4 linked regions of the Arabidopsis thaliana genome follow. The protein of the gene in region 1 interacts with the protein of each later gene in a biochemical or structural test. Each region holds a gene or a part of one and is shown in the gene's direction. Other genes may lie near its edges. The genes, in order: HYL1, HEN1, DRB4 and SE.

The links.
Region 2: the proteins of HYL1 (region 1) and HEN1 form a complex in vitro, tested with the Arabidopsis thaliana proteins (one study listed by BioGRID).
Region 3: the proteins of HYL1 (region 1) and DRB4 interact in far-western blotting, tested with the Arabidopsis thaliana proteins (one study listed by BioGRID).
Region 4: the proteins of HYL1 (region 1) and SE form a complex in vitro, tested with the Arabidopsis thaliana proteins (one study listed by BioGRID).

The regions. Positions count from the first base shown.
Region 1 is NC_003070.9:3,137,127-3,142,220, reverse strand, and holds HYL1 (dsRNA-binding domain-like superfamily protein), read left to right. Parts: upstream 1-1,867; 5' UTR 1,868-2,102; coding exon 2,103-2,127; intron 2,128-2,623; coding exon 2,624-2,886; intron 2,887-3,289; coding exon 3,290-4,261; 3' UTR 4,262-4,572; downstream 4,573-5,094. Other genes in the region: AT1G09710 (Homeodomain-like superfamily protein), read right to left, coding at 1-191, 390-476, 738-927, 1,023-1,102; AT1G09690 (Translation protein SH3-like family protein), read left to right, coding at 4,791-5,027. UniProt on the Arabidopsis thaliana protein: Double-stranded RNA-binding protein involved in RNA-mediated post-transcriptional gene silencing (PTGS).
Region 2 is NC_003075.7:11,185,410-11,192,972, reverse strand, and holds HEN1 (double-stranded RNA binding protein-related / DsRBD protein-like protein), read left to right. Parts: upstream 1-1,849; 5' UTR 1,850-1,919; intron 1,920-2,153; exon of another isoform or gene 2,154-2,368; 5' UTR 2,369-2,397; coding exon 2,398-2,649; intron 2,650-2,739; coding exon 2,740-2,829; intron 2,830-2,982; coding exon 2,983-3,434; intron 3,435-3,518; coding exon 3,519-3,773; intron 3,774-3,985; coding exon 3,986-4,935; intron 4,936-5,436; coding exon 5,437-5,588; intron 5,589-5,732; coding exon 5,733-5,849; intron 5,850-6,043; coding exon 6,044-6,163; intron 6,164-6,268; coding exon 6,269-6,709; 3' UTR 6,710-7,037; downstream 7,038-7,563. Other genes in the region: MS5 (Tetratricopeptide repeat (TPR)-like superfamily protein), read left to right, coding at 7,129-7,341, 7,526-7,563. UniProt on the Arabidopsis thaliana protein: Methyltransferase that adds a methyl group to the ribose of the last nucleotide of small RNAs (sRNAs). This protects the 3'-end of sRNAs from uridylation activity and subsequent degradation.
Region 3 is NC_003074.8:23,225,022-23,229,385, reverse strand, and holds DRB4 (double-stranded-RNA-binding protein 4), read left to right. Parts: upstream 1-1,873; 5' UTR 1,874-1,939; intron 1,940-2,211; 5' UTR 2,212-2,222; coding exon 2,223-2,453; intron 2,454-2,542; coding exon 2,543-2,924; intron 2,925-3,182; coding exon 3,183-3,637; 3' UTR 3,638-3,860; downstream 3,861-4,364. Other genes in the region: AT3G62810 (complex 1 family protein / LVR family protein), read right to left, coding at 1,206-1,285, 1,383-1,623. UniProt on the Arabidopsis thaliana protein: Double-stranded RNA-binding protein involved in RNA-mediated post-transcriptional gene silencing (PTGS). Functions in the trans-acting small interfering RNAs (ta-siRNAs) biogenesis by binding and assisting DICER-LIKE 4 (DCL4). Required for DCL4 activity.
Region 4 is NC_003071.7:11,570,815-11,577,173, forward strand, and holds SE (C2H2 zinc-finger protein SERRATE (SE)), read left to right. Parts: upstream 1-1,582; 5' UTR 1,583-1,772; coding exon 1,773-2,188; intron 2,189-2,399; coding exon 2,400-2,500; intron 2,501-2,747; coding exon 2,748-2,805; intron 2,806-3,143; coding exon 3,144-3,218; intron 3,219-3,302; coding exon 3,303-3,377; intron 3,378-3,471; coding exon 3,472-3,519; intron 3,520-3,669; coding exon 3,670-3,738; intron 3,739-3,827; coding exon 3,828-4,619; intron 4,620-4,699; coding exon 4,700-4,748; intron 4,749-4,863; coding exon 4,864-5,123; intron 5,124-5,231; coding exon 5,232-5,390; intron 5,391-5,482; coding exon 5,483-5,543; 3' UTR 5,544-5,844; downstream 5,845-6,359. Other genes in the region: FRS3 (FAR1-related sequence 3), read right to left, coding at 6,155-6,199. UniProt on the Arabidopsis thaliana protein: Acts as a mediator between the cap-binding complex (CBC) and both the pre-mRNA splicing and primary microRNAs (miRNAs) processing machinery.

The DNA.
Region 1 (5,094 bases):
CCCTCGGTAGATGTAACTTTCTGAAGACAGACCGGAAAGTTGATATTCATCCCTCTTGACGACCAAGGAGACTCTGATGGTTCCTGAGAACCCTCAGGCAAAGCATAAGGTATGTTTATAGTCAAGGGAGCCTCAACTGTTGAATCGTCGAGTATATCAGACTCACTTAGAACATATGAAGCAGCCATCACCTGGGAATACAAGAGAAACGAAAACTTAATGATATTTGGATAAAATGGGAACTCTGGATAAGCACAGATTGATATGCAGAACAAGTAACCAACACACTAATCATTAAGAAAACAGCAAGGTGTTATCCTGAATAGAGCCTAGGGACTTCAGATTCTGAAATTCTGTCAAGGGAATGAAATCTATGATTCCGTTCTTACTTTGACATGTGCAATAGCCTCCACTGATGCTTCATGGCTGACTGCAGGAGAAGCTTCCAATTCGCACTCCATGTCACTATCGTCGTCCTGCACAGGCAACTTTCGTTTAAAAAATCTGTAAACTACACCAGCGAGAGACACTCATCGATCCCTAATGCTACCAAGAAGTTTTAGTATCCACTGCCACATAGAACATAAACTAGTATTTCATCACACTCACTTCTAGATGATACTGATAACACAAAGTAGTAGTGAGTTTTTATTGAAGAAAACTAACTAACTCTACAACATAAACTTGAGTCTTTTACAATTCATCAAAAGTGGAAAGAGGAGAGACAGAATAAGTACCAGAGGTAGAGCATCATCTTCCACAGGGAGGAGAGGATGCCGATAAGAAAGATGACGCCATAGCAACTGGTACTCTCTAGCATTAGTAATTCCGGTAGTGGTCTTCTTCACCAACGCATTCCAGTCCATCTTGGTTTCGGAACAATAAGATATCTCCTGTAGCATTCTCAGTATCGTCTCCATATCATATCTGCGTCAATAAATCAAAAACCCCGGCCACACTGACTAAACCCAAATCCACTAACGTTTTCGGAAAGAGAAAACAAAAAAAGGAGATATTTTTACCTCAGCAAAAGAGTGGCGATGTCGCCTTCAGTAATGATTCTCTTCCTGCGATTGCTACTAGTATTATTATTAGCAACCATCTTCGTCGTATTTATTGCAACAATTCTGCAGAGAACAGGACAAAGGAATCAAATTTCACCAAAACCCGAGGGAGTTATAGACGAAACGAAACGACAGAGACTTACGCACGAGGGAATGCCCAAGAAAACCGGTGAAGACGATCGGAGAAGAAGATGGTCACGACTGTCGAAGAGCGTGGAGAGTACTCGCGTGGCAGAGGTGTTTCGGAAGAGAGAAGAAAAAAAAGGAACGAAAAGGAAGGTGGTAAATTCGACTATTATTATTCTACGCTTATCAGAAGCGAAAAGTATGGGCTCAAATATTTTTCTTTTCTGGTAAAGGGATATAGGATCAAGTGGGCTCAAATATGGGCTCAAATATTTTTCTTTTCTGTTAAGGGACATAGGCTCAAGTGGGCTCAAATATGGGCTCAAATTGTTTTTATTTTTTATTAAACGGTTATTATCATTATTGATGTTTACTTGGAGAACAAATTAATTATTTGTGAATACAAAAACTGTGTGAATATAACAAAGGGATTACTAGTGAATAAAGTTAGCCATAAAAAGGTTAATCAATTGTGGATATATACATTAGTTAACTACATATGAAATACGAAATTAGGCTATATGTAATTAGTTTTTTAATTAAATTAAATATTTCAAAGATAAAAACATTTTGCTTTCATATAATATTCACAAGTAAATTATATTTATGGAAAATTTGACCAAAAAGGTAAATTTATGGAATATAATATAATTTATAAAGGTTTGAAATTAAATTCAATATTAACATTTGTAACATAACAATTAAGAACCACCTTCTTTCGTTTGCCCTTGTGAAAAAAAAACAAAAATAAAAATCAGTAAAGAGGAGGAAGTCGAGGGGAGAGGGTTTTTGGTGAAGAAGAATCATCTCTCTCTCTCTGCTTCTTCGCAGCAGCAGCACGTTTCTTTCTTGCTCTTCGCCGTGCCCTACTAACCTATTATTCGTCTCTTCAGCTACATTCTGCTCGTGAAAATGACCTCCACTGATGTTTCCTCTGGTGAATTACTTCTTCTTCTTCTTCTTCTTCTTCACCATCATGTCTGCATTATCTCTAATTCAACATTCATGGGTTGTTTTTTCCGGGTTTTAATTTTGAAACCAGATCATGCTTTTTCCCCTTTCTTCTGTTCTTTACTCACTTCTTTCTTCTTGGAAATTGGATTGCAGTGTTTTGATTAGTTAGAATTTACAAGTGTATCTGTCCCTTGTGGGTTTAAGCGTAGATCTCTCTGGCAATTGGCAAGTTTACTCTTTTGAGATGATGATTTATTGACTCAATTTGTTAGGGAACATAGAAGCTTGGTTTAAAACTGTCTCTCCCCTTTTGGATAAGTATAGTTTCTTTGTGAAAGTCGTCAGCTTTATTCAGAACTCGTTCACTGCTGTTCCCTGTTGTCGTTTTGAGTTTATTTGCAATTTATGCTGTAGTGGATAGCATCATCACTGTTTCTGTTTTATCTTTTGCCTCATTTTGAAGTTTTTTTCCTGCTCAGGTGTTTCCAATTGCTATGTTTTCAAAAGTCGGTTGCAGGAGTATGCTCAGAAGTACAAGCTCCCAACGCCTGTTTATGAGATCGTTAAAGAAGGCCCTTCACACAAATCTTTATTTCAATCGACTGTGATACTGGATGGTGTCAGATATAATTCTTTGCCTGGATTCTTCAATCGTAAGGCTGCAGAGCAATCAGCTGCCGAGGTTGCTCTCCGGGAATTAGCAAAATCCAGTGAGCTAAGCCAATGTGTTTCACAACCTGTTGTAAGCACCTCATCTTTCTTATTTCGCTCGTGATTATTGTTAAGTTCACTGCAAAACTATTGAACCTAGCCTAGGGGTTTAGCAGCGAATTGTAGCTTTGCCATCTCAGCAGTAGTCCTTATGCTTAGTTTGAGCGTTGAAGGTTTAAAGGGAAGCTCATGGTTAGTTTCAGAGTTGAAGGTTTAAAGGGGAGCTGTGAGAATACGTTAGGGGGCATTCTGTATTTGTCTAGGCTCTTGGTTGGACAATGATCGAGATTCAAGAGTTTAAAGAATCCACTCATTAATAAAGTGTCTTCTGTCTTATCGGATTTATGTGTATTGCCAACTTCTAGAGGGAAGATTCTTAGGCTGTTTCTGTAAGTTATTGCTCTTGTCTAACTTTGAATGGCTTATTAATGCAGCACGAAACGGGATTATGCAAGAACCTACTTCAAGAATACGCTCAAAAGATGAATTACGCGATTCCATTGTATCAGTGCCAGAAGGTCGAAACTCTTGGGAGAGTTACACAATTCACATGTACTGTAGAGATTGGAGGCATAAAGTACACAGGAGCTGCAACAAGAACTAAAAAAGATGCTGAGATTAGCGCTGGGAGAACTGCTCTTTTAGCGATCCAGTCAGACACTAAAAACAACCTTGCCAACTACAACACTCAGCTTACTGTACTTCCTTGTGAGAAGAAGACAATACAGGCAGCTATCCCGCTTAAAGAAACCGTCAAGACTCTTAAAGCCAGGAAGGCTCAGTTCAAGAAGAAAGCTCAGAAAGGAAAACGCACAGTAGCTAAAAATCCTGAAGATATTATCATCCCTCCTCAACCTACTGATCATTGTCAAAACGATCAGTCAGAGAAAATTGAGACAACGCCAAATCTGGAACCTTCTTCATGCATGAACGGGTTAAAGGAGGCAGCATTTGGGAGTGTGGAGACAGAGAAAATTGAGACAACGCCAAATCTGGAACCTCCTTCATGCATGAACGGGTTAAAGGAGGCAGCATTTGGGAGTGTGGAGACAGAGAAAATTGAGACAACGCCAAATCTGGAACCTCCTTCATGCATGAACGGGTTAAAGGAGGCAGCATTTGGGAGTGTGGAGACAGAGAAAATTGAGACAACGCCAAATCTGGAACCTTCTTCATGCATGAACGGGTTAAAGGAGGCAGCATTTGGGAGTGTGGAGACAGAGAAAATTGAGACAACGCCAAATCTGGAACCTCCTTCATGCATGAACGGGTTAAAGGAGGCAGCATTTGGGAGTGTGGAGACAGAGAAAATTGAGACAACGCCAAATCTGGAATCTTCTTCATGCATGAGCGGGTTAAAGGAGGCAGCATTTGGGAGTGTGGAGACAGAAGCAAGCCACGCATAACAGTGTCAAGATGGAGTCTTGTGAGTTTGTCATAGTTACTATATGGTTACGTAGCCATTTTGTGATTCCTATCTAGTCTAGTAGTAATTCACAGATTGAAGAGAAGTAATATTTGAGCGGAAAATCAAAACTAATATGATTGGTACAATTTGGTGGTCGATTGAGTCATTCGAATAAAGTAATGTGGGGTTGCAAAACAGAAGCTTCATATCTACATATAAATGAAAATTACTCTCAAACTTCATTATTTGTGGGCCGGTTATAAAAACACAAACCCAACAGAAGGTCCATTACCCTCACTCTTCATTATTTGTGGGCTGGTTCTAAAAAACAAAAGTCCAATAGAAGGTTCATTACCCTCACTCTTGATTATTTGTGGGCTGGTTCTAAAAAACAGAAGCCCAACTTGCTGACCCAACAGGTCCGTTTACGAAACCCTAATCTCAAAACAGAGATATAAATACACTCTGCCTTCCTCATTTCATTTCTTCGGCGATCTAGGGTTTTAGTTGTCGCACGAGGAGGAAAAATGCCAGCGGGTCATGGAGTTCGGGCGAGAACGAGGGATCTGTTCGCGAGGCCATTCAGGAAGAAGGGTTACATTCCACTCTCGACTTACCTGAGAACCTTCAAGGTCGGCGATTACGTCGATGTGAAGGTGAATGGTGCGATCCACAAGGGTATGCCTCACAAGTTCTACCACGGTCGTACTGGTCGTATCTGGAACGTCACTAAACGCGCCGTCGGTGTTGAAGTCAACAAACAGGTCTGATGAACTCTCCTATCTCTTCAGCTTTTGTGTCATTGAATTAGGATTTGAGCTTCTTAGTGTG
Region 2 (7,563 bases), on another chromosome or scaffold:
CACTCCTATGTTATTAGCTAAAATATTCAGATTATAATTCAGAGTCATATCATAAATAAAATTAATATTAATAAAATAAATGGCTTTTTGGCAAGACGGATTTGGAGAGACGGGTTTTTGAATCAACATTAATAAAAAAATAAAATATAATTAATCCACTGTTTGAATACGGGTTAAATCTTTAATTTATTATTTTTTAAGACCACTAATATTAAACATATCAAATCATCCTAATTTAGAAAAGATTATATAAAACCAAAAATGTTATGTGGTATGTATAATGTTACTATATATAAAATTAAACTATAAAATATAAATGTGTTAGAGAATGATACAATTTGCAAAACTTTTATATATAATAAATAATTCTTAAATTTTAAAAATTATTACTTTAAAAAAATATTACGGGACGGGTAAAGGAATTACAGAACGGGTTTTATTTTGGAATTGGGTTATATGGTGGATGTATTTGAATCAATATTTATAAAATTTTAAAATATTATTAATATGCTGTTTTACAAGGGGTTAAACTTCAGTTTTTTAACAATTGTCTCATGGATTCGTGGTATAGCGTTACTTAATAACAATTATAAACTGTAAAATATAAATATTTTATAAAAATAAAATTTGCAAGTTTTAATAGATATTACTTTAAAAAAATAAATCATCCCGCGGTATACCGCGGGTTAAAATCTAGTTCTGTTTAAAATCTCCATGTTTCTTCCTTAATCACACTTTTACTTTTGGTCATATGATATGACTCATATTTTAGTGTTATGCATTCATTACATGACATGGTTTTCTTCAAATTTTGGCTACAAAGCACAAGAAATGTGAGAATACCAAACATTAAGGTTATGATTCGTAACATTGCATAATAGCATAACGGTATAAGTTGCATAATAAAATATGTAGAATGAAAAACCGTAGAATCAAATTACTTAAAAATATATGTTGATTGGATACATTTTACAGAACGACAAATAAAATATTATATCAACAATATATATTTATACTAATAAAACTGTTTTTAATAAATTTTAAGTAATATTTGATAATAAAAATATAAGATTCTTAAAATCTATTAAAGAGTTGTGAAAATGCTGATTAGAGATTTTGAAATGAAGTAAGTAAAGATATGGTTAGTTATTTGGTTGTTCGGATTTTTAGGGAATATTATTTCGTGTAATATTGAATTAGTAGAGATTCAAGGGATTAATGTGTGCAATTTATGAGGGTAGTGCAAAATAATATTTTTGTTTAGGTAAGTAATTAGTGCAAAACGTGAATAATTGATCAAAAATTTGGTCATTGTCATAAAGAAGACAATCTTGTCTGATTGATTTTGTAGGGACTAAACATACAATATCGAAATTGAAAAATGATTTTTCGACACAAATCTTCCCCAAAAATGTATATGTAGATTATTAATAACATAATTTTTGTGTAAATAATTATAGTTTTTTATTGTTTAAAATTGTTAGTATTTAAGATGCGTAAAATAATAACAATTTCTTATGCGAATAAAAACTATATACCCATTTTTTGCATAATGAATTTTTACTTGTAAATTTAAACAAAAATACAAATTGTGCGTTTTTACGTTTTCTTATACAATTATGCAAATTTTCTTAATATGAGAATTTTTTTACATAATTACATTAAAAAACGCCTTACCAATCAGAGCCTTAAACCTATAATAACTTCACACGTAAATGGTATTTATTTTCTTCTAGAAAAAGAGAATGGTGGATAGGGGAATAAAATAAAAAGTTGGAAAAAGAAACGATTCTACAACATGTAATGACCAAAACACCCTCCTTCCTCCCTCTAAAACCCCATTCTCTCTCTCCCACTCTCTTTTTCTCTGTTGCTCTCTCCTGAGTTCTTCTTACATGAAAGTCCGCTGAACTCTTTAGGTTCGTTGTCGATTATTCTTGCTTTATGTTTGTGTATTTATTTTTTGAACTTCTGGGCTCTTTCTGAAATTCAATTTCATTGACCCATCTTCTCTGTTCATGACAATTCGTTTGTCCTAATGTTACACTCAAAACCCTTTTTTGTTGTTTATACCCAAACCCTCTATCTATCTGTACTTCCTTGGAACGAAATTTTTTTGCTTTGACTCAATTTCTTTCTTAGAATTAGAACATTGAGAATGTTGGAACTCAAATAGATGTTGGTTCGATTTTGAACTTTTTGTTTATTTATTAATGTTTTCTATGGCTCTGATTTGAATTGTCAAGTTTAAGACATTCTTCTTCTTCTCTTAGATACCCTAATTTCAGGGGTATGCACATTTTGCATAAAAGTTCCAATCTTTCCTGATCGTTGACAATATTTATGTGTACCCTTTTGTTTGTCTCAGTGTGTTAAAGAAGCTACATTGTGTTTGTGATGGCCGGTGGTGGGAAGCATACTCCTACTCCAAAGGCGATTATACATCAGAAGTTTGGTGCTAAAGCAAGCTATACAGTTGAGGAAGTTCATGACTCTTCTCAGAGTGGTTGTCTAGGATTAGCAATTCCTCAAAAAGGTCCATGTCTCTATCGTTGCCACTTGCAGCTACCTGAATTTTCTGTTGTGTCAAATGTCTTCAAGAAGAAGAAGGATTCTGAACAATCTGCTGCTGAATTGGCTCTTGACAAGGTATGCTTTGTTGTTTATTATATATATATATATATCTTATGTAATTTATTCTCTCTTATGTTAACGAAGGCAAGACTATTCATGTTGCAGCTAGGCATTCGCCCTCAGAATGATGATCTTACTGTGGATGAAGCTAGGGATGAAATTGTTGGACGCATTAAGTATATATTTTCTGATGAGGTTAGTTGATGAAAAGAAAATTTTGGTTTCTATTATTTTGTAGCTGTAACGACATCCTCGTTAAACATATTACCAGTTATATCGCTGGACCAAAAGGTATCTGGATGTCTAAATAGGAAGTGGTACTGGCATTAATGTTTGTTGCGATTGCAGTTTCTTTCAGCTGAGCATCCTCTGGGAGCTCACCTTAGAGCGGCATTGCGAAGAGATGGTGAACGTTGTGGATCAGTTCCCGTTTCTGTCATTGCTACAGTTGATGCAAAGATTAACAGTCGTTGTAAAATTATCAATCCTTCTGTGGAGTCAGATCCTTTCTTGGCCATTTCCTATGTTATGAAGGCTGCTGCAAAGTTGGCAGACTACATTGTTGCATCTCCGCATGGACTCCGAAGGAAAAATGCATACCCTTCAGAAATCGTGGAAGCACTAGCTACTCATGTATCTGATTCCCTACATAGCAGAGAAGTCGCGGCTGTATATATACCATGTATCGATGAGGAAGTTGTTGAGTTAGATACTCTTTACATTTCATCAAACCGGCATTACTTGGATAGTATTGCTGAAAGGCTCGGATTGAAAGATGGCAACCAAGTGATGATATCCAGGTGATTATATTGTCTTTTTTCTATTAGTAACTGGAGCTTTCTTGGTGTTAATCTGGTATGAAAGTATTTTTTTCTTTTCAACAGGATGTTTGGCAAAGCTTCCTGTGGCTCTGAGTGTAGATTGTACTCTGAGATTCCAAAGAAGTACTTGGATAATTCATCAGATGCCTCTGGTACTTCAAATGAAGACTCATCTCATATTGTAAAATCTCGGAATGCACGAGCAAGTTACATTTGTGGTCAAGATATTCACGGGGATGCAATCTTGGCATCTGTTGGTTACCGATGGAAGTCCGATGATCTTGACTATGATGATGTAACCGTAAATTCATTTTACAGGTCTCTTCTCTCCTACCGCTCAGTTTTATGTCTGATTTGTTTCCTTTCCACATCTTCTTCTAGAATAAGGATTTTAGGAATATTGCATTGGTGTAACGTCTACTAACTCTGAAGTAATGCATTTGATGTTTGTCTTTGCCTTCCGATGAAGCACTGCATATCTTATTCTTATCATGCACTGATGCATGACATTGGCTTTGTGGCTGCTGCAGAATATGTTGCGGTATGTCACCCAATGGAATCTACAAAATTTCCCGACAAGCTGTAATTGCTGCACAGTTGCCTTTTGCATTCACTACAAAATCTAATTGGAGAGGTCCACTCCCCAGGGAGATTCTCGGCCTGTTCTGCCACCAGCACCGACTAGCAGAACCCATCCTTTCTTCATCTACTGCACCTGTGAAATCGTTGTCCGACATATTCAGATCTCACAAGAAGTTGAAGGTCTCAGGAGTTGATGATGCCAATGAGAATTTGAGTAGGCAAAAAGAAGATACACCAGGACTAGGGCATGGGTTTAGATGTGAAGTGAAGATTTTTACAAAGTCTCAGGATTTAGTTTTAGAATGTTCACCGAGAAAATTCTATGAGAAGGAAAATGATGCCATTCAAAATGCTTCATTAAAGGCCCTCTTATGGTTTAGTAAGTTTTTTGCTGACCTGGATGTGGATGGAGAGCAATCATGTGATACAGATGACGACCAGGATACTAAATCTTCAAGTCCTAATGTTTTTGCGGCCCCACCGATTTTACAAAAGGAACACAGTTCTGAATCAAAAAACACAAATGTGCTGTCGGCAGAGAAGCGTGTTCAATCTATAACAAATGGTTCCGTGGTTAGCATATGCTATTCTTTGTCTTTGGCAGTGGATCCTGAATATTCGAGTGATGGTGAATCTCCAAGAGAAGACAATGAAAGCAATGAAGAGATGGAGTCTGAATATTCGGCTAATTGTGAATCCTCAGTAGAGCTCATTGAAAGCAATGAAGAGATAGAGTTTGAGGTAGGGACTGGATCCATGAATCCACATATTGAATCAGAAGTTACTCAGATGACTGTGGGTGAATATGCTTCATTTAGGATGACACCCCCTGATGCTGCTGAAGCTTTGATTTTGGCTGTTGGTTCTGATACTGTGAGAATCCGCTCGCTCCTATCAGGTAATACTTATAATGTTTACATTTGTTGTAGGATAAATTTCTGAAAACGATTTTCTGGTTGAAAAAAAAAAAAAAGGTCTTTATCATATGTTAGACATTTGAACTGCCTTCACCAGTGAACTTAGGTCTAGTCTTACTAGTAACTACAAAGCTCTGGTTCTCACTAATACTAAAAAGAGGCAAAGTTATGTAAGAACCTCACGTAAAGTCTTCTGGTGAAACTTAGGATTGATTTAAAGTCTTGTCCATTTTATTTTTTCTATTCTTTCTGTTATGGAATAATGTATTATTAGCATTTCAACTTTACTGTGTCAGCTCTAGCTAGTTAGATGAATCTGTCGGTCTCTTATTTCTTTTTCAAATCATAGCCAAAATTATCAAAGCTTACATGGCTGTAAACAGAGGATGAACAAAAATTAGACCTATATCTATGACTAAGTTAAGAGATATCATGAACATTTAAATGTGATAGTGATGGATTTCTCTGCTTTTTGTGCACAGAACGTCCATGTTTAAATTACAATATACTTTTGTTGGGAGTGAAAGGGCCATCAGAAGAACGAATGGAGGCGGCTTTTTTCAAACCTCCACTTTCAAAACAACGTGTTGAATATGCACTGAAACATATAAGAGAATCATCCGCTTCTACTTTGGTAAGCTCTATATATCTTAATGTCTTCCTGCTTACTAGGATTATGAATTCAAGACTTTGTTAAAACTCATTTGTTTCAGTCTCTTTTTGTCCTTATTGGTAAATCTTTGACAAGCATAAGATGGCACCTCTATTCTTGTTACAGGTTGACTTTGGATGCGGATCTGGAAGTTTATTAGACTCTCTACTTGACTATCCAACTTCACTTCAAACCATCATCGGTGTTGACATTTCGCCAAAGGGTCTTGCCCGTGCTGCTAAGGTCTGCAAAATCACACATCACTGTTTTTTATTCCCGCTCGTAGACATAACTTGATGAGACTAATGCATCAAAATAATTGATAAATGTTTGATGAAGAATGTATTTGCACCACTCATGATTCTCTGCATTTTGTGTAATTGAAAAGAAATGGTAGATTTACTTATGCTTTTGTGTATCTTGTGTTTCAACTTTAGATGCTACATGTAAAACTAAACAAGGAAGCTTGCAACGTCAAATCTGCTACACTTTATGATGGTTCCATCCTTGAGTTTGACTCCAGGCTGCATGACGTTGACATCGGCACTTGCTTAGAGGTCCACCTCTCATCTGCTCTCTAATCCTTCAAATTTTGTACACGTTTATCAAAAGCAATCTGTCTGGTTTCGGCGTTAAATCTATAATCTGTTCCTAATCTGTAGGTTATTGAACACATGGAAGAAGATCAAGCCTGTGAATTTGGGGAAAAAGTTCTGAGCTTGTTCCACCCCAAGCTCCTGATTGTCTCAACACCAAACTACGAGTTCAACACAATTCTCCAGCGGTCTACACCAGAAACCCAAGAAGAAAACAACTCGGAGCCACAGCTTCCAAAGTTCAGGAACCATGACCACAAATTCGAGTGGACAAGAGAACAGTTCAATCAATGGGCATCAAAGCTCGGCAAACGCCATAACTACAGCGTCGAGTTTAGCGGTGTTGGTGGGTCTGGTGAAGTAGAACCCGGATTTGCTTCTCAGATAGCTATTTTTAGACGGGAAGCTTCATCTGTTGAGAATGTTGCAGAAAGCTCAATGCAGCCTTATAAAGTCATCTGGGAGTGGAAGAAAGAAGATGTAGAAAAGAAAAAGACTGATCTTTGACTAGAGTAGTATCTACCAGAGAATATATATATTGCAAGCAATGTGATGACGTGTTCATCTATAAAACTCAAAGCTCGTTTAGTTCTTTTGCCATGAGCTTTTGCAGATTAACCATAAAATCGAACCTTTATGTTTACAAGATCCTTTTGTCTCCAAGTCTACTGGTCCGTTGAAGTTTAAAGATTAGATCAGTAGATTACCCTTTTTGCCCCTACGTTAAAGTTTGTTTATTTAAATACAAGTCCTTGTGATTTTTATCACTTTCTCACTTCTTCAACGACACTGATTCGTTTTCAAAGCATTTGCGTTCTTGATCTTTTTCACGAGGGCGATTTCTGAAGAACACGAGAATTTGAATTCTGGGAAAAGCTTTCTCGAACTTTATCTGAGTAAATTGACAGAGAGAATCGAAAAAGAAAATGTGTCCCTGCGTAGAGCGTCGTGCTCCACCTGGAGTTTACTATACTCCGCCGCCGGCGAGAACAAGTGATCATGTGGCGGCGATGCCGATGACGGAGAGGAGGAGACCACCGTATTCTTGTTCTTCGTCGTCGGAGAGACGTGATCCGTTTCACATTGTTCATAAAGTTCCTTCTGGTGATTCTCCTTACGTCAGAGCCAAACACGCGCAGGTATAATCAATTTTCCCGCGAAAACAAGACAGGGGAATTTTTCTTTTGACCTAATTTAGGAATTCTAGATTCTTCCTCATGTGATAAAATCTCTTAAAAGCTTTTCAAATTTTGAGTGATCTTCTTGAACCTGTCTATGATTGAGGTTTTCTAACAAATGGATATTGTTTATGTGGAAGAACAGTTGATAGATAAAGATCCGAACAGAGCTATATCATTGTT
Region 3 (4,364 bases), on another chromosome or scaffold:
GATTGAAAACGTAATTTGTCGCATCTCTTATGCAACGAAGTGATAAGAAGAGTGAGTATAAATCCTTCTATGATAATATTTATTTCATCAATGGCTACGAATATATGGTATATATGAAACTGTTTATAAATGGAAGATGAGCTAGTTGTGTACGGAATGAGGTTTTGGTACCTTACATCGAAAAAGCTACATTATGTAGTTTTGTCATCGCCATGAGGCCCATGACCATATCTCTTTTCGAATCCATTTTTTTAGTTACCTTTTTCTTTATTCACGACATGGCTACTTTCTTTAGGACGTGCGTGAGTTCTTATATACAACATAATCACGTAATGCGTGAGCATTTATGAATACAGCTAAAGAATTGAATCAAACTCACATGAATTGAGAGAACAAAGTATATGTGGTTATGACGATTCACATGATTCCTATGAAACAATGCTCTTCAACACAAGAATCTAAGGATTGCACACCAGCGAGAAGATGACTGAGACACTAATAAGAGAAAGCTAGAACTCTGAACTTAAAATCATGAATGGAGATGATAAAAAAGGACTTCTGAGCAAATGCTGTGGACACTCATGAATGGGGGTAAATCTTGACAGATTGTGTAGTGGTTTTCATTGGAAAATGAACCATACTTCTCGGACCCCGTATCAACAATATAGGTTCTATTTTATTGGTTTGAAAAACTAGAGTGACCATCACGGCTTCAATCTTCTCGCGTCAACTCTATTTCAAACTTCCCATCAGACTCTGTGAAACAATCGGGGACAAGGAAATCTAGATAGATGACGAAACCTAAGCTTATGTAGGAAATAATTATATTTCAATCTAACAATAAAAGTGACATGGATTTGAAAATGATACAAAAGATGGGTCTCTACGACAAGACAAGGCTTCTAAGATTTGAGAATGACACAAAAGATGGGTCTCTACGACAAGACAATGCTTCTAAGAAAAGTAGAAAAGTGAGGTCTACAGTCTAACATACAACATAATCAATATTAGCCATGGATGTAAGTGAATTCTGTAATTCTTGTTTTGAAATGGACGAATCTCATCCAAAAATGTATGTAAAGAGCTTCTTATTGATTCAACTTGGCCGTGAAAAGAGAAAACAAACAGAGAAGCATAAAAAGGATCCACCTTTCCCGATCAAACAAAACGAGTAAGGGAGAAGTAATCCAATTTCAGACTTACACTCATACAGATTTTTTCCGAAGCATCTCCTCTGATGGAAGCTCCAAAGTAGCTCCCGCGTGTTCCTGACTTGCTTTCATCTCTACGACACAGAAAAATCAAATTTCCAAAGATATGAGCTTTCACTCACGCATTTCAACAAACAGATGGTGCGCAAGATAAAAAGAGTCAGAACGAACCATATCCGCCGCGTTCGTTGAGTTTAGCCTGGACGATCATGGTGGAAATGAACTGCGTCGCTTCACGCGCCTCTTCTAGAAGGCGAGTGATGTCGGAGTTAGAAGCCACGAGGCGATTCTCTTCGAATTTCTTACGGATCTCGGACGCCGAAGCTTTTAGCATCTCGGTATCTCCGGCGAATGATTTCTTTGTTGCCCTGAGCAGTGCTCTGTACGCGATCAACGCTTCTCCGGTCACCATTTCTGCTCTTTCCCCTTTCAACCTCCGCCGTCGTCTCCCTCCCAAAATTGGATTTAGAAATTTGGTCGCCGACAACCTTCTGATCAACTTCGAGTTTCATTGGGCCTTTACAACTTTCATGAATAAGCCCAATTTTGGCCCATTAATGGATTATTTCGGATCATACCCGTTCAAGCTGGGTTAACCCGAATCTTTCGTATCCTTGAGACAATTTACATGTGTATACTTATTATGGTTTCTCGATGAGTTTCAATCAGCGAATGCTTTGTCTGATTGTTCACTTCCTCCCTCGAAGTGTCTTCACCATTTCAAAGAGGTACGATTTTGTGTTTATAATCGTAGATTCCTTTCGCTGTTTTGATGTTATCGATCTGTACGAAACCCTAGATCATTGAGTCTGACCAATTCTGAAATTCGTCTCTTCGTTTGCCATTTATGTTTGAGAAATTCTGATACATGTTGTCATGTTGATCTCTTTATGTTTGGTTGACCAATTCTGAAATCTGAAATTCGTCTCTTCGTTTGCCATTTATGTTTGAGAAATTCTGATACACGTTGATCTCTTTATGTTTGGTTAATTCCTGCCAGTTTAGATAGAGATGGATCATGTATACAAAGGTCAACTGCAAGCGTATGCCCTGCAACATAATCTGGAGCTACCAGTGTATGCGAATGAGAGAGAAGGGCCTCCTCATGCTCCTAGATTTAGATGTAATGTTACATTCTGTGGACAGACTTTCCAGAGCTCTGAATTCTTTCCGACACTAAAATCGGCTGAACATGCCGCTGCAAAAATTGCAGTTGCTTCTTTGACGCCACAAAGTCCAGAGGCTAGTTCCTCACACTCTTTTTGGACTACAAGTTATGTGCTTTTTCAACATTTGTTTAAATTTTGATTTTCAAATTTTTGTTGTTTCAGGGAATTGATGTTGCCTACAAGAACCTGTTACAAGAAATTGCACAGAAAGAGAGTTCTCTGTTACCATTTTATGCAACTGCTACATCTGGTCCATCGCATGCGCCTACTTTTACTTCAACTGTTGAGTTTGCTGGTAAAGTTTTCAGTGGAGAAGAGGCGAAAACCAAAAAGTTGGCTGAAATGAGCGCTGCTAAAGTTGCATTCATGAGTATCAAAAATGGGAACTCGAACCAGACCGGATCGCCTACTTTGCCTAGTGAGAGACAAGAAGATGTAAATTCAAATGTGAAGAGCAGTCCACAAGAGATCCATTCTCAACCTTCTTCCAAGGTGGTGATGACCCCTGATACCCCATCAAAGGGGATTAAAGTGAATGAAGATGGTTAGTTTTCTTTGAATACTACACTACATGAATAATCCGTTGGTTTGTTTGTTAAAGGAAAAACTCTCTTTCTTTGTTATAACTTGTGGTCCAATCAGAGGGACGTATTTTCCTGAGATAGGTAGGAAACAGCTATGAAATAAGAAAGCCAACCTTACTTTAACTGCATGAAATGGATTCCAATTTCAGTTTAATGCTAAATGGTCAAGATGGTTAATTCATTCAAAACTCATGCTCTACAGTCTTGATTCTGTGCAGAATTTCCAGATCTTCATGATGCACCAGCCAGTAATGCTAAGGAGATTAACGTTGCTTTGAATGAGCCTGAGAATCCTACAAACGATGGTACTCTTAGTGCACTAACTACTGATGGTATGAAGATGAACATTGCTTCTTCTTCTTTGCCTATACCTCACAATCCTACAAACGTTATTACTCTTAATGCACCAGCTGCCAATGGTATCAAGAGGAACATTGCTGCTTGTTCTTCGTGGATGCCTCAGAATCCCACAAACGATGGTAGTGAAACATCATCATGTGTAGTAGATGAGAGTGAGAAAAAGAAGCTCATAATGGGAACTGGCCACCTGAGTATACCAACTGGCCAACATGTAGTTTGTCGCCCATGGAACCCCGAGATAACTCTTCCTCAAGACGCGGAGATGCTCTTTAGAGATGATAAATTTATAGCCTATCGTCTTGTGAAGCCATAACGACATCATCATCTTTGATGCATAATAAGTGTAGAGATAGAATGTTAAGGTAAGCTATATCTCATCTGTTTGTAGAAATAGAATGCTTCTCGTCTCTGGTTTTCTTAAGCAATATGCTATGTAGTATGTATACTGTGTAATGACTAATTTTTGTTTTAAAGCATTGTGTTTATTAGAAACAAGGCGAGATTAAATGTTAATAGATTATGGAAAAGCTTAACAGAATAAATATTAAATAGTAAGATGTAGACATAAGCAAAACCAGCTAGATAAGTAACCGCTTCAAGTAGAATATTTGTAACGATAACCGAATATAATTAGAGACACTAGAGTAGAGGTAAGCAAAATATTTGGGAACAGCAATTCCATCACGATATTAGATATTCGAGACCGGTGCGGAGATGTGCTGATGATTTTCGGAAGACATTCAGGTTGTACATAGCTAAGTCCATATTGGTACCCACAAGTGCTGATTTTCCGAACAGATCCTGGTTGTGAACGAAGCAGGGTGTGCCAGCAGTGCCAAGGCACAGAGTCCTTATTTTCTCTCTTAAATTTTAGGGTCCTAATTTATAGGAATTTTTATTTTTCTAGATAAAATTACAATGGTTGAATAGAACTACAAGTGTATTACGTTTACAAGAGACAGTAAACACTGCCACGTAAACTAAAATTTTTTGGATTTAAAGGTTTAAAGGGGATATTTTTTTTTTTAGCACAGAACCCA
Region 4 (6,359 bases), on another chromosome or scaffold:
AGAAGAGAGAATTAAGTAATAGCGAGTCATCTGTTCCACTAAGTTATCTAATGCAAAGGTGTGAGTGAGAGTATCATTGTATTCATGTTGAATATGAGAGAAGAACAGTGCCCTTTATTACCAAATTGCATCATGATATATAAAACAAATGAAAATTACGCATTGCAGGATATTTGCTATTTAGCGAGACATGATCATTCTCTCAAATCTCAAACTCAAATCTCATGCCTCCGTATATAGAAAAAAACAAAGAAATCCCAAGCAAACACAACGAAGATACATAAATTAAATCCAAGGCAACAAATACAAATCAAGCTTATGTTGCTCCCAACACAACACAAATCAATCATACATACCAAATAAAAAAAACCCTCAAAGCAACTATCTATCAACAATTAAAGAACAAATTTCCACTTTGAAATCCTAACACAATCTAACCTATTCTCTTAACTTAGTAACCTGTTCCGCCGTTTAAAGTTCCTCAAGCAAAATCCTTATGGAAAGAGTAAAACTTTCACAGAACCATCGGATAGATGACAAACAATCAGAATCACATAAGAAGGCAACTTTTTCGTAATCGGAATCCCAAAATAGGGCGAGAGAGAATATAAGGAGAGCATAACCAAAGTCATACCGCAGACAAAACACAAAACTGATTGAACAAATTAAGAAGTTTTCTTAGAGTAATCGAAAATCAAAACCTGAAAAGTGCACGAATTTGACAAAAAAGAGAGATTTTTATAGAAAGGTAAAGAAACCCAAATGAAATTGGACCATTAGAGTAGAAGAAAACCTAGAAAAGGTGAGATTTTTCACACAAGTAGAAGAAACAACAGTAAGATGGAGAAACGGTGATACCTAAAGAGATGTCCTTTGAGAGCTTTGGAGTTACGCGAGAGGATCAAACCCAAAAGAAAACAAAACGTCTTCTTCTACAGGAGACGAAGAAGAAGGAGAGAGGTGGTCTGTGTCGTGTGTGAGTCAGCAGCGAATCAGATGGGTAGAGAGAAGAGAGAGAGAGAGAAGAGGAATCTTATGCGAGAGGAGAAAAAGGAGATTGTGTGTGTATGTGTGTGACTACCAACATGCAATAAAGCATTTGCTTGCTTGTAAAGACGATTTTGACGGATGACTCCAAAAACGGTAACTTTCTCTTGCCGTTGTTATTTCTACTCCGGTTACTTTTCTTACACCTTTTTTTTGTTTGTCTTTTTATTTTTTTAAGGATTCATTAGTTTATGATAAACATCCTTAATCTATGGTCTTAGTCAATTGCTTTACAAAACAATTTTGTTACATGTCAACTCACATTTTAGTATTTTACTAATAATCAAATCCATAGACAGATTATGAAAAAATAATCCATAGTGATCCCATAAAAAATAGAAACTAATCTTATCAAATTGACAGAGATACTAAGACTTATTATTGGCTTAATTTACAGAATTGTTTGAAGAATTTTTCTGGAAATGATGGGAAAGAATCTGACTGAAATATTAAAATAGTTTTGCTTCGATGAAATGGAGGAATAGTCAAAGGTGTGGACAAATAATTAACATAGAAATCCAAATACTGTATTTTCATAAAGACGAAGATGGGCCTCTGAGAGTAAGGCCTATTTATGAAGACGAAGATGGGTCTCTGAGAGTAAGGCCCTATTGGAAATAAAGCTCACTGTAACAGTAACAGCAGCAAAACCCGTAAAGGTAGAGGGAGAGACACAGAGGCTTCGAGTGAAATCGTACATTCTCCGATTTAGGGTTCCGAACGAAATGGCCGATGTTAATCTTCCTCCGTCTGATTCCGTCGATAACCGTCTCCCTGAGAAATCAACCTCTTCCTCACCACCTCCTCCACCGCCTTCTTCTTCTCTGCCGCAGCAGGAACAGGAACAAGACCAGCAGCAGCTTCCGCTACGCCGTGAGAGAGATTCACGAGAGCGTCGTGACGAGAGAGACATCGAACGTCCTCCGCCTAATCGCCGTGAACGTGACCGTTCGCCTCTCCCACCGCCTCGTAGGGATTACAAGAGACGTCCTAGCTTGAGTCCTCCGCCACCGTATAGAGATAGGCGACACTCTCCTCCTCAGCGTCGCTCGCCTCCTCAAAAGCGTTATCGGAGGGATGATAATGGCTATGATGGTCGCCGTGGTAGTCCTCGTGGTGGCTATGGACCACCCGATAGAAGGTAATCTTCATTTCTTATGCTTACACTTCAATTGGAATTACATCAGAGTTAATTTGTTACCGATTGAATTATAATTCAAAGTCATATGGGAACTGTGTTTGCATTGTTGCTTAGCTGATAACTGTTGATTATCCTCTTGTATCGATGGTTGTTATATTCCATCGTTTTCGAGATTTCCTAATCTGTACTCAATTTTTACTTTGCATGTTAGATTTGGGTATGACCATGGTGGAGGATATGACCGTGAAATGGGTGGGAGGCCTGGTTATGGTGATGAAAGGCCTCATGGTCGCTTTATGGGTCGCTATCAGGGTGAGACATCTCTGTCTAAGATGTTTTTACAGTTGAGAGAATCAGTATTACCACTTTTTCGTATGATTTCTGTCTTGTGAGACATGTTTAAGATACCTATCATTGGGCGTTCTTATTATTTGTGGACTTCTGTTCATTTGACTAGCTTCGTATATTTCTCTCTGTATGCTGTGGATTGGAAACAAGCGATTTACATTAGAAGATAAGATGTCAATATCTACCTTTTATTGTGTGTTACTTATGGCAGACTGGGAGGGAGGACGTGGAGGTTATGGTGATGCTTCCAACAGTGGAAATCCTCAAAGGTTAAGGTTCCTTCTTCTTTTGTTTTTTAAAATTTTCTTTGTATTTCATGGGTTTGTTGTCTTTTTCCTATGGCGTGTTTATTCTTGGTAGCGTATTTTTAATCAAGTTAGTGTAAACTAAGAGTTGCGAACTGTCTAATGGTGCTCAATGAATGGAGGATACATCCCTTGTAGAATGTTCTTTCTTCGATGAGACATATATGTTTTTTTCCTTATAGCTCCGGAAAGTTAGAGTGAATGTTTGAGAGACACCATTATAGTGGCACACAACTGATGCTGTCTGTATCCTCCCTTGCTGTTGCATTTAACGATACTACCTTTGTAATTCCTTTACCCAGGGATGGATTGATGTCATACAAACAATTTATCCAGGAGTTGGAAGATGATATATTGCCATCTGAAGCTGAACGCAGGTATGATCATTTCTGCTACTTAGTCTTGTTACTTAAGCAATTTAATAATAAAGCTGCGGGTGTAATGCTTTTTTCCTGATGCAGATATCAAGAATACAAGTCAGAGTATATCACAACACAAAAACGTGCCTTTTTTAACACCCACAAAGAGGAAGACTGGTGATTTCACTATCTTTTTTCATCTTTTATATTCTTCTGGGATATTCTGCAAGCTAGCCTAATAACATGTGTATCTATGTTGCGCATCTACCAGGTTGAAAAATAAGTATCATCCAACAAACTTACTATCTGTCATAGAAAGGTGAGTTCAAGAGTCATTTGAAGCAATTTGATTCGGTGTTAGTGCCTGAATAGTGTAATATTAATACTATACATCCTTGATTTTATTATTTTAATTTTCTTTTCATTAAAGAAACTGTTCAACTATAGATATTCCTTTGAAATTTTTCAGGAGGAATGACCTTGCACAGAAGGTGGCAAAGGATTTCTTACTTGATTTACAAAGCGGGACACTAGATTTGTAAGATCATTTCTTTGGCCTTTATTCCACATGTGTGACTGATCACAATTCTGTCATCTCTAACGCTCTCAGTTTCCCTTCTGTTCCAGAGGCCCTGCAGTGACAGCATTGAATAAATCCGGCCGGACCAGTGAGCCTAATTCTGAGGATGAAGCCGCTGGTGTTGGTAAAAGAAAAAGGCATGGTATGGGTGGAGCTAAAGAGAATGAACTTCTTTCAGCCGCACCGAAAGCACCCAGTTTCACCTCTGATCCAAAGAGAATCCTGACTGACGTTGAACAAACACAAGCCCTTGTGCGTAAGCTAGACTCTGAGAAAAAAATTGAGGAAAATGTTTTACAAGGTTCAGAAACTGAAAAATCAGGTAGAGAAAAGTTACACAGTGGTTCTACTGGTCCAGTTGTAATCATAAGGGGGTTGACATCTGTGAAAGGCCTTGAGGGTGTTGAATTACTTGACACGCTTGTTACATATCTATGGCGTGTTCATGGTCTGGACTATTACGGAAAGGTTGAAACAAATGAAGCTAAGGGTTTGCGGCATGTGAGAGCTGAAGGAAAAGTTTCTGATGCAAAAGGAGATGAGAATGAAAGTAAATTCGACTCTCATTGGCAAGAGAGGTTGAAAGGTCAAGATCCCTTGGAAGTGATGGCTGCCAAAGAGAAGATAGATGCTGCCGCTACTGAAGCTTTAGATCCACATGTCCGAAAGATTAGAGATGAGAAGTATGGTTGGAAATATGGTTGTGGAGCCAAGGGCTGCACGAAGCTGTTTCATGCTGCTGAATTTGTGTACAAGCATCTCAAGCTGAAACACACTGAGCTTGTCACAGAGCTGACTACCAAAGTTCGGGAAGAACTGTATTTTCAGAACTATATGAAGTATGTAGGCTTTTTCTCTTGGATTCCTCTACTGTCGTTTCTGACAGGTTCGTAATGAAATTTTTTTGTGCTATTTGCAGTGATCCTAATGCTCCAGGAGGACAACCAGCCACGCAGCAATCTGGCCCGGTACATGATCTTCTTTTGAGATTTAATGGAGTGTTGACTAGTCTGTACTTTTGGGTTATCACTTGTTTAGCTTGGTTTGAGTTTTATTTACGTGGGTTAATTATACTTTCAACAGAGAGATAGACCTATAAGACGTAAACCCAGCATGGAGAACAGACTGAGGGATGATAGAGGTGGACGCAGAGAGCGTGATGGACGTGCTAATGGAAATGACAGAAATGATCGGTCAGAAGATCAACAGAGAGGGGATAATGATGGTGGAAATCCTGGGGAAGTTGGGTATGATGCATTTGGTGGACAAGGTGGTGTTCATGTTCCTCCCTTCTTATCGGATATAAACCCACCACCAATGCTGATGCCTGTTCCTGGTGCTGGGTAGGTTTAATAAAGATTACTCACTCCCTTCATGATCTTGTTTTCAGAATAAATTAGTTACTGTGTTGAATCAATGATCTTAATGTGTCTGAATGATGATGTGGTCAGGCCACTGGGACCATTTGTACCAGCACCACCTGAAGTTGCTATGCAGATGTTCAGGGACCCAAGTGGACCCAACCCTCCTTTTGAAGGTAGCGGGAGAGGTGGACCTGCCCCTTTTCTGTTGTCTCCGGCCTTTAGACAAGATCCTAGACGGCTGCGCAGGTAACGTAGTTCACTCTGTGCTATGAGTCCATTACCCTATGATCAAGAGTGCAGTGTCTCTAAGGTACTAATGTATGAGAAATTTGGTGCAGCTACCAAGACCTAGATGCTCCAGAGGAAGAAGTGACCGTTATTGATTACAGGAGCTTGTAGACAAGACAGGGCTAGAGAGATCCCGAGTTTACTGGTTCGGGTTGGGTTAAAGGGCATCAGTATTAGAAGGCAAAGCTAGCAGATTGTGGCATTTTCTTACCCTTTTGATGTATTATGTCTTGTTCCTCCCAATTTTCACTCACTAAAGCGTAAAATACGCACTCCATACATTTCCTTATTGTTTTTCAAAATTTTTCATGTGCTTTCTTACTAATTCTGTTCGACGATGATTACATAAATAGCATGAGAATTTCTTGTATTGAATAATGCGTTTTATCCACATTGTTTGTTATCAATACTTAAGTCTCCATGGCAGTCTTAAATCTCCATGGCCATTAAATATAATCTGCAGTCAAACGAATGACTATCCACAAGAATCCAGGTTTTTAGGGTTCAATGTAAATAAGAAGGATATATACACTTCAAAGCCTGGCTCAATGCCTACCAGATTCTACACACTTGCGTAGATGACGTGACACTTACACATGTTACAATTACACATAAGGCATTGTATCGTAAATCTAACAACACTAATCACAGACGAGCTCTAATGAGGTTAACAACCATTTTCCAAAGTTTTCTTTTCCAGAGGTTGTTTCTCTCTCTCAACATCATTTGCGTTGCTTCTTTGCTTGAGATTCTGTTTGTAGCTCTCCCTGCAAATGCAAGATACCGTTTAGATACTCTATAAGACAATACATAGACCAAGTAATAGTTCAGGAACAATTATAGGTCGATATGAACCTAATTGATTGCTGTTACTATTACTAATTCAACTATCATTGGCCTTGTAATTATTTAATAACTACTACTTGG